3 linked regions of the Saccharomyces cerevisiae S288C genome follow. The gene in region 3 interacts genetically with the main gene of each other region. Each region holds a gene or a part of one and is shown on either strand. Other genes may lie near its edges. The genes, in order: RAS1, YSA1 and TPK1.

What was found.
Region 1: of TPK1 (region 3) and RAS1, a mutation in one rescues a mutant of the other (synthetic rescue), as found in Saccharomyces cerevisiae (5 studies listed by BioGRID, with this or other methods).
Region 2: mutations in TPK1 (region 3) and YSA1 together harm fitness more than expected from each alone (negative genetic interaction), as found in Saccharomyces cerevisiae (3 studies listed by BioGRID).

What each region holds. Positions count from the first base shown.
Region 1 is NC_001147.6:513,002-516,673, forward strand, and holds RAS1 (Ras family GTPase RAS1), read left to right. Parts: upstream 1-2,242; coding exon 2,243-3,172; downstream 3,173-3,672. Other genes in the region: alpha-1,2-mannosyltransferase KTR1, read left to right, coding at 1-5; CRC1 (carnitine:acyl carnitine antiporter), read right to left, coding at 294-1,277; OST2 (dolichyl-diphosphooligosaccharide-protein glycotransferase), read right to left, coding at 3,448-3,672. UniProt on the Saccharomyces cerevisiae protein: The S.cerevisiae Ras proteins modulate the activity of the adenylate cyclase catalytic subunit and therefore affect the biosynthesis of cyclic-AMP.
Region 2 is NC_001134.8:460,678-463,873, forward strand, and holds YSA1 (ADP-ribose diphosphatase), read right to left. Parts: upstream 1,197-3,196; coding exon 501-1,196; downstream 1-500. Other genes in the region: SUS1 (Sus1p), read left to right, coding at 1,462-1,532, 1,613-1,752, 1,823-1,902; transcription regulator CYC8, read right to left, coding at 2,193-3,196.
Region 3 is NC_001142.9:109,466-113,203, reverse strand, and holds TPK1 (cAMP-dependent protein kinase catalytic subunit TPK1), read left to right. Parts: upstream 1-2,044; coding exon 2,045-3,238; downstream 3,239-3,738. Other genes in the region: YJL163C (uncharacterized protein), read left to right, coding at 1-1,538.

The sequences.
Region 1 (3,672 bases), on a different chromosome or scaffold from region 3:
GTTGATTATACTGTAATCAGCCCACGTTGTCTTTGTATTTTCCACTTTTTTTATTTATACTATTTAAAGAAACAGAATAAATTATAACTCTTTTTTTTACATATCACATTTATATTTACTCCATTGCGTTACAAATATGAACGCTTCGACAACAACGCCAAGGAAACCGGGATAACCCAACTGATATTTTCTACCATACACTGAACGAAATTGCAGAACCAAAAAATAACAAAAAGTTCCCAAAAGGAATGCCAGAAAAAAATGGGAGGCAGGTCCACCTAACAAAAATTTAATCATATGCCATACTTCTTGAACAGTGAATGAGTCATCTCCACACCTAAAAATGTGGCCGCATTGGCTGGGAAAGATCTTAGTAAAGCAGGACCTAAACCAGGGAAAAATCCCTTGATACCACCTCTTTGTAGATAAATTTCCTTTGTGGCGGAAAGCATATTCTGCCTCGTGGAGGAAGCCTGCAATTTTGTCTTTATAGTGTCTATGGGGAAAACAGCTAGCCACATCGACATACCAGCAATACCACCAGCAAGACACACGTTCAAGATATTGACCGGTTCATCTTTGCCCGCATCTTGACGAGGTTGCCTACTATTCAAGTAATTTTTTGAAATTTCATAAGATGCAAAATATAGAGCTGAGCCAGGCCCATCTCTTGCTAAAGTGGCTAATGAACCTTTAAATAAAGAAGCTATGCCACCTTCTTTAACAATGGTTTTAGCCGCCTGAATGAAAGAGCCCTTAGAAGATGTTTGCAGGACAACCTTTACTCTTTCCGTTGGCGCAGTCACTAAAGTGGTAGGAATAGCGCTGATAAATCCTGCTGCAGCCATTTGTCCCATAGTTAACTCGTTACTGCCTCCTTGCTTGTTATTAAAAGTAACCAGTTTCTTACCCACATCGTAACCCCAGAAAGAAACAGCGAATATGGGAGTAACACCTAATAAGGGCGGGATAACACCTTTATAGAACCCCTTTACGGAATTGGTAAATAATGTGCCCTTTACTTGAGTTTTTGCTTCTTTTATAATATTTGTAATGGCATGTACCGTGGAATTCGCTTGTCCATTTTGACATCTCACTTTAATCAAATCGAAGGGATGACCCGTAAACACCGCACATACCCCGCCAACTCCACCGGCCACAAATGATTTGATATTTTCGCGTACAGGGTTTGATTTTATAGGTGGACGAGACTTGGTCAAGCTCCCACTCTCTTCTTTCAATAATGAAGATTCTGATAATGAAGTGTCTGAAGACATTACTGACACGATGACGTTTGTGGAGGATAAGAAAGTCGTACAATACGTAGAATCCAAGGAAAACCTGGAATAAAAACACACATAGAGCGCAATTGAATATCGGCTATTTCTACAGTACAAGCGTCTGCCTATATATGCGCTTGAAATATATCTATTTCGACTAAAGGAATTATACCATCATGCATCTTTACTCTTAAATCTCCATTTGTCCACCGACTTATTGCGGCAAGTGGAGATCCAGTCACGCCGGATGACTGGGTGTAGATAAATAGCCGCCCAACTGATCCCTGCATAAAGCTTATATGCGGATATTAGGAGCAGTAACCCGATGACATTAAGCGTGTAGCCACAAGGAACTTCACCATTACTCATAGCAGAAAAAGCAGTGACCAAAAAATGGCAGGAATGACTCTTTTCTGTTTCCCCTCATATACACTGAAACATCTCGATATAAAGCATGCCCTTTATTGTACCATCAATGCAATGTAACGGCAAACGAGGCTAGGAATATGTATTACCCGCACTGAATTGCTTCTTCACTTAGCACACCCTTGATCGCTATGTTCTACGCTGCTACCCGTTCGGTAGGGAGTGGCGGGGAAATTCACATTGGCACAATGTAAACCCGTAGGAAAAAAAAAAAGCACGAAGAAAAAAAAAGAAACCAAAAATATTTACTACATGTAAGTCTATGGACATTTGACAACAAACTTTTTCAACTCATCGCAAGATTATGAATTTTTCACGGCTTTTCAGGTTTTTTCCTCCTTTTGTTTTACATTGAAAGGTTTATATTTTATGTCTTTGTATGGTTCTCTTAATTTGGATTCTTTCTTGTACGGTGTCTCTATTATCATCTGTCTTGTTCTTTCTTGCAATGCTTAATTAACTGCTGCCACAATTGACTTCGGTTTGGCTATTTCACGATTGAACAGGTAAACAAAATTTTCCCTTTTTAGAACGACATGCAGGGAAATAAATCAACTATAAGAGAGTATAAGATAGTAGTTGTCGGTGGAGGTGGCGTTGGTAAATCTGCTTTAACAATTCAATTCATTCAATCATACTTTGTGGACGAATATGACCCTACTATCGAAGATTCTTACAGAAAACAAGTTGTCATCGATGACAAAGTATCCATTTTGGACATTCTAGATACTGCTGGACAAGAAGAGTATTCTGCGATGAGAGAACAGTACATGAGGACTGGGGAAGGTTTCCTACTGGTCTATTCCGTCACCTCTAGAAATTCCTTTGATGAGTTACTGTCTTATTATCAGCAAATTCAAAGAGTAAAAGATTCTGACTACATTCCTGTAGTCGTGGTAGGTAACAAATTGGACCTTGAAAATGAAAGACAAGTCTCTTATGAAGACGGGTTACGCCTGGCCAAGCAGTTGAATGCACCCTTTCTAGAAACGTCTGCGAAACAAGCCATCAACGTAGACGAGGCCTTTTATAGCCTTATTCGTTTGGTAAGGGACGACGGTGGGAAATACAATAGCATGAATCGTCAACTGGATAATACGAATGAAATAAGAGATTCGGAGCTAACCTCATCTGCAACAGCGGATAGAGAAAAAAAGAACAACGGGTCTTATGTACTCGATAATTCTTTGACCAATGCTGGCACTGGCTCCAGTTCAAAGTCAGCCGTTAACCATAACGGTGAAACTACTAAACGAACTGATGAAAAGAATTACGTTAATCAAAACAATAACAATGAAGGAAATACCAAGTACTCCAGTAACGGCAACGGAAATCGAAGTGATATTAGTCGTGGTAATCAAAATAATGCCTTAAATTCGAGAAGTAAACAGTCTGCTGAGCCACAAAAAAATTCAAGCGCCAACGCTAGAAAAGAATCTAGTGGTGGTTGTTGTATAATTTGTTGAAAATGATCCTGCTCTCTTGATATGACATGGTTTTGATTGCAAGTCTATTCTTACTTGTTCAATTGGTTTCACCAGCATCTTTTTGTATCCATTTTCCTATGCTGTGTATCTAGTAAAAGAGTTGCTTGCCACCAAACATTAATACTAATGGTTAATCTGCCACCTTTTGTAAGCTTTCTATAATGTACAATTGTAATATGTTCTTTTATTCTCGTACAAAGTATATATACTATACACATACAAGCATGCATGCAAGCACGCCGGCAAACCCTTCCTCAATTTATAAAATGTAAACAAACGAAATGTAAAATCAAACTAGCAACAATAAACTCGGCAAAAGCTCTGTTTTTAGAAATGCCTGGAAAACTATTACACAATTGTAACCGCAAACTCATCAATAGGACGAATTGTCCCACACAAATAATGAATCCCGCTAAAAACGCATTGAATGGAAAATTATCACGGATCAAGATAATGAATGTACACTGGATCACCCCTAA
Region 2 (3,196 bases), on a different chromosome or scaffold from region 3:
GTTGATAAATATATCCTCAAGGACTACTTCTTTTATATTTCTTGTAGGTGATGTTGTGCCCTCATCGTTAATTTGAATCCCAGCAATTATCAGACAGTTCTGCCGCCCTTCGGCAATGTCCAAGCTGTAGCCAAATACTTAAATCAAGGAACACTAACCATGTATGACATACAAGGAGCACTACCACTGATTTCAACAGATATTAATGGTAGTTTTTTGCAGAATCGTAAGGTAGATCAGTGGAAATAGTAGAAAAGGGCTAGTTTAGATTCAAAATTTGGTAACACGTAACGTCGCGCTTTGGAAAATATACCTCAATGCTGACTACTTAAGATGGCAAATAGCCTTGTCAAATTTCCTACGGAATGTTATTTTCATTACGTCCTTCTTTTTCAATGTACTTATTCATAAATGGGACACTATCTTGTTGCAAAAGGTACTTTGTATTTTGGTATTAACATCTCGCCTATTTTTCATACAGAAACACTACTTATCGCTATCTATTTGATGTGGTATTGCTTGGCCATGAGGATACCTTGAGCTACGTTTTGAACACGTGCATCCAACTTGTAGCCTTGTTGATCCAACTTAACCATTTCATCAGGAAACTTGTGCAACTCAACGCTAAAGCATTCGATAAATTCATTATCTTCCAATTGAGTAACTGGTTTTTGGTTTTCAGGTAAACTCATATCAACTTCGACAGTAACCAGACAGAGGTTGGTGTTTGTGAAACCAGGATCGTTAAAAACTGTTGGGCTTTTAGAAATTATTTTACCACTGTAACCAGTCTCTTCTTTTAATTCTCTTAAGGCAGCAGTGTCAATATCTTCACCCGCATCTATCAAACCGGCTGGCATCTCAATGCATACGCCCTCAACGGGAGGGCGAAACTGCTTTTGTAGCAAAATTTCATCAGGTTTTCCATCTTTGTATTTTAGAATGGTTAAGATACCAATGCCGTCTACACCACCGGAACTTCTAGTGGTGCGGACTGCGCTATCCCATTCCCTTTCCTTCCCGTTGGGATCTTTGTAGATGATTTTTTGTAAACCGATCCACTTGCAGTCAGATGTTTCTTTAACGTGACGGGCTTCAATTATTTTAGCATCTTCTGGTTTACCCTTGACGGTGCTCATAGTTCTAAATAGTCTCCTTGAATTGAGGGAAATAACTCTTACGTTTCTCAAAAACATCTAAGTATGAGAAGGAAGGAAAATGCCGAAAGAATAATCATAAAAGCATATATACGTGATTCATATGAAGGCTGTCTGACGTTGTATTAAACCGCTAACGGCCGTACTTGCCATCCCTTACGGAAGTGTATTCGCTTGCCGGACCTCTTCCTCCATGAAGACCAAAATGAGGAATTATGAAAAATAAAAAATGAAAATTGCCATAGGCATGGCTTGACCAACACATGCGACAAAATCAGAAGTAACAATTCTGGCCTTCACTCCAATGACTATGGATACTGCGCAATTAAAGAGTCAAATACAACAATATCTTGTAGAATCAGGAAACTATGAACTGTATGATAAAATATTATAGGGGTTGTCTTTTTTAAAAAATCTACTTTACTGACTATTCAGATCACCGTCACATTTATTAGAATTTCAAACGAACTAAAAGCCAGACTACTTCAAGAAGGTTGGGTGGATAAAGTCAAAGATTTGACCAAATCAGAGATGAACATAAATGAATCTACGAACTTTACCCAAATTTTATCCACCGTAGAACCCAAAGCATTAGGTATGTGAATATTTTATCACTAAATTTATTGAAAAGAGAACGTTACTAACAGTGGAATTTTTTTTTCTAGAAATGGTATCGGATTCAACAAGGGAAACCGTTTTAAAGCAAATAAGGGAATTTCTTGAAGAGATTGTAGATACACAATGAAGGATACGAAAATGCACCTTAATTCCCAATATTATTACATATGCTCATCGGGAAAACCTTTTAAGCAATAATAGATTTTAAGTATGTAATGATACAAATAATAATATATTTATATACGCATATATTTACATGTGCATATATGAAAAATAACCTAATTCACGTTACCCACCTTTTTTTTTAGCCTTTTCTTTATTTATATATGTATCCACAACATAATGAATGAATTGTGAGCTACACAACATTTCTCGTTGATTATAAATTAGTAGATTAATTTTTTGAATGCAAACTTTTTAGTCGTCGTAGTTTTCATCTTCTTCCACTTGCCTTACTACATTTTCTCTTGGAAGTGTGTTCTCCTGTGGGGATTTTTCTTGAGATGTTTGCTCTTCCTCACGCATTTTGGCCTCCTCTTTCACTGTTTCCATTGTTTCCAAAGTAGGTTTGATTACAGTTATCGTTGTAGCAGCGGTTTCATCTTGTTGTTTTTCAGCATCTCTGGAAGCTGCTGGCTCCGCCTCTTCAGTAGAAGGTGCAGATGCTTCAGTTGTGCCGTTTTCCTCTTTAGAATGCTGTCTTACTTCGTCTTCTACAGGGCTTGCTTCTGCAGGAACAGTAGCAGTAGAAAGTTCTATGGTCTCAGCAGTGCTTTGGTCATTTGCTTTTGTTGTTGAACTTTCTGATGATACAGTTGGTTGGACACTAGATGACTCTGGTTCCGTATTAAGCGGTTTTGTAGAAGGAGAAACAGAAGCTGCTTTGGTAGCTTCTTCAGCAGGACTAGCTTCCTGTGGAGGTTCCTGTGCGCCAATTACTGAAGGTATTGAGTTTGCTTTTACAGGTTTTTCTTCTTGTGAAGTATTATTGGTATTAGACTCCACTACTGCTGGCGATTGGTTGCTCACCTCAGATTTTGCATTTTCTTCAATGGAAGTAGCAGTATTTACTAATTTGTTGATGTTTGAATTTGGAGAGTTCAACTTTTGCTTCTTTACCTGTGGTTCAGCGTTCGTTATTCCTGTTGCGGGAGCTTGCGTTGGAATGGCATGGGTTGGTTGACGAGGAGACTTTGTGTTATTCTCTGTGTGGGTGCTACTGGATACGGCGGCATCTACTAAAGTGTGGATTGCACCTTCCATGTATCTCTTTTGAGGTAAAACGTTCTGTTCCACGTTATGCTGGATTAAAGGTTGGGGAGCTTGGGCTTGAGGCTGGCCTTGAAGTTGTTGTGGATGTTGAACAGATTGTAGTTGTTGCTGTTGAGGTGGCAGTTGAGAGCTTTGCGGATGTTCCATAG
Region 3 (3,738 bases):
CTAATGAAACAGCTCAGGACAGTAGCTATGACTCTATCCGGCGCTCCCCCAGTATTTTGAGTGTTGCCAAAAGCGTTGAGGGAGAGCATGGACGTAGAAAACTATTATGCCTTTACGGCCTTGTTATGATTATCTGTATTGCGGAGTCTATTTCTATGACTGCTACAATACCGTTGGTGATGGACAAGGTAGCGGAAGGAATTTCAGATGAGAATGGACATTATGATTCCGTGGCTGTACAGACAATAGTTTCCAGCATTTCTTCATCCACTATGATGATAGCAGGGGCAATCAGTATTTTCATGGCTGGTAAGTGGGGAGAATTATCCGATAGAATAGGAAGAGTGCGTGTTTTCAAATACATGAGCGGCATCAGGGTCATAGGGCTTCTTACGCACGTCTTTACCCTATCATCGAAAATGAAGTATCACAAATGGGCTATTGTTCTTACTGCGTGTATCGTACCATCATTCGGTGGCTTGTTTGCGCTAGTGGCGAATGGAAATAGTTACGTTTCAGATATAGTGAAAACTGAGCACAGAATGGTGACAATAGGAATAATGATGAGTTGTATATATGCCACTATGGGCGTAGGCCCAATGTTTGGGTCCTTTCTGGTGAAGTGGACTCATGGAAACGGGTTCATTCCTATTTACACATCAATAGCGTTTGTTATACTGGCGCTTATAATATGTGAGACAATCATGGTGGAACCGCGCCATGAAACCCAAATGGCCCATTCACAATCAACTTATACAAAGAGGAGAGAGAAACTAAGATCACAATCGGGTTCTGACGATGCAAGAAATTACCAATCCGTTACTTATGGAAAATTTCAAATAATGAGGTTAATGGACCTGCTCGCTCCAGTAAAAAAGTTATGGCTGAAGCCCGACAGTGCAGGGTCTTTAGTACCCCGGCATACCGTAATATTACTCATTGTACTCGATATACTATTTGTCTGTGGAACGACATCGTGTATGCCAGCATTGATTTTGTTTTCTACATATGAGTACAAATGGCATGCAGTAGAGCTAGGTTATTTCATATCGATACTGGGTATCGGAAGAGGTGTTGTGTTACTGGTCGTATCACCTACATTACTGTACACGCTAAAGAGGATTTATCAACACTTGAACCATTCGATAGACAAGATAGACATCTTTTGCATACAGTTTTCTATGATTGTTATAACACTGAGTCTCTTTGTCATGATACGATTTGGCGAGAAAACTCCCACATCCATGATAATATTCGCTCTTTTACAGGCATTGAGCGCGTTTTGTTCACCAACTTTGCAGTCTGGTATCATAAAGTACACCTCTAAGAAACATACAGGCGAGATGTTCGGAGCAATGGCTTTGGTAAGGTCCTGTGTTATGCTTGTCATCCCTCCCATCCTCCTTAAGCTATATGGAAGTACTGTCTCCGTTAATCCTAGTCTGTTTATGTATATACCGTTCTCAACAAGTATTGTTGCCATCTTGTTGACATTCTTCCTAAGAATTTACAAGAACCCTCCGCTGGACGGGCCTTAAAAACATTTACATACCGTATACACCACATATTTTTAGTTACTTGTTCGAAGCTGTGCTGCTATTCGTTCTTGCAAAGCCAGTGTCCTAACGACTTTGCTTATGACATGATTCAACATAGTGTTGTTGTGGTTTTTTCTACGTAATCATGATGATCTTTTTTTTCGCGCTATTAGGGGGGAGGGAAGGCGGGATCTGGTAAAAGTTTGACATAATAATCAAGGGGGATATCGTATCCCTTTACTTGAAAACTTGAAAAATATTCATCTACTATCTCTGGCCAGAAAAACGTGAGAATTTTTAGGTGCGAAACATCATAGAAGCTGCGATTGTATCCATCTAAGAGTTTTAATTTGATAAAGCTAAGGAATCTGACCCTATACTTTTTTTTTTGTTTGGCTTGCTTGCATTTTCAATCGGCTTCAAAGGTAGCACAGAAAGTAGTGTTCTCTTAGCTTAAGCAGTGCATGAATTATAGCTGATTGTGTGAAAGAATCTTTTTTTTGGGTATGTCGACTGAAGAACAAAATGGAGGTGGTCAAAAGTCTCTAGATGATAGACAAGGTGAGGAATCACAAAAAGGTGAGACTAGTGAAAGGGAAACAACAGCCACAGAGAGCGGTAACGAAAGTAAGTCTGTAGAAAAAGAGGGTGGAGAAACCCAAGAAAAACCGAAGCAGCCACATGTCACTTATTACAATGAGGAGCAGTATAAACAGTTTATTGCCCAAGCGAGAGTTACAAGTGGGAAGTATAGTTTACAAGACTTTCAGATATTAAGGACACTGGGTACGGGTTCTTTTGGTAGGGTCCATTTGATTAGATCAAGACATAATGGCAGATACTACGCCATGAAAGTTTTGAAAAAGGAAATCGTGGTAAGATTGAAACAGGTGGAGCATACCAACGACGAGCGATTGATGCTTTCTATCGTAACACATCCGTTTATTATTAGAATGTGGGGGACTTTCCAAGATGCTCAGCAAATTTTCATGATTATGGATTATATTGAAGGTGGAGAATTGTTTTCTTTGTTAAGGAAATCCCAAAGATTTCCCAACCCAGTTGCTAAATTTTACGCAGCGGAAGTTTGTTTAGCTTTGGAGTACTTGCATAGCAAGGACATTATTTATAGGGATTTGAAACCGGAAAATATCTTGCTTGATAAAAACGGGCATATAAAGATAACAGATTTCGGGTTTGCCAAATACGTTCCTGACGTCACATATACATTATGCGGTACTCCCGACTACATAGCACCCGAGGTCGTTAGTACTAAACCATATAATAAATCTATCGATTGGTGGAGTTTCGGTATTCTGATTTACGAAATGCTAGCAGGATACACGCCATTTTACGACTCTAACACGATGAAAACCTATGAGAAAATCTTGAATGCCGAATTGAGATTTCCACCATTTTTCAACGAAGATGTAAAGGACCTGTTGAGTAGATTGATCACAAGAGACTTAAGTCAAAGACTAGGTAATTTACAAAATGGTACAGAAGATGTCAAAAACCACCCCTGGTTCAAAGAAGTTGTCTGGGAAAAATTATTATCTAGAAACATAGAAACGCCGTATGAACCGCCCATTCAACAGGGACAAGGTGACACCTCACAGTTCGATAAGTACCCGGAAGAAGACATCAACTACGGTGTTCAAGGTGAAGACCCATATGCTGATCTTTTCCGGGACTTCTAATGACTAATGTTTTGTTGTATTTTCCTCTCGTATCTATATTTTTTTTTTTTCATATTTTTTTCCCTCTTTTCTACATAACAACTATCCTTCGAAAACGAAATTTCAACCCCTGTATAGTTACTACGGAGATGGAACGGCGTTCACTGTTCTTGTAGATTGCATACATGATGTTATCGAGGCGTATTCCTACCATTAAAAGGGCTTTTATTCTACGCTTCTGTCTTTGATTTTCTACTTTGCTCGCCGCGCCACTTTCGAAAGCTTGCATCATGAAATGAAGGATTTTGCATATCGATTTTTTTTTTACGTGAGCCCCTTGGTATAAACCAAATAAAGGGCAATTGGTGGCTCCAAACAAGTCGGAATCTCCATTCTATACGTGTATATTTTAGGAAGCATTATAGTCTACGAAAAGATCCATTCTTTCCATCCATTTACTTTTAGAATACAAAGGAGATAGAGAAACTTGCTAAATAAAAAAAAAATTTTGAAAAAATAAA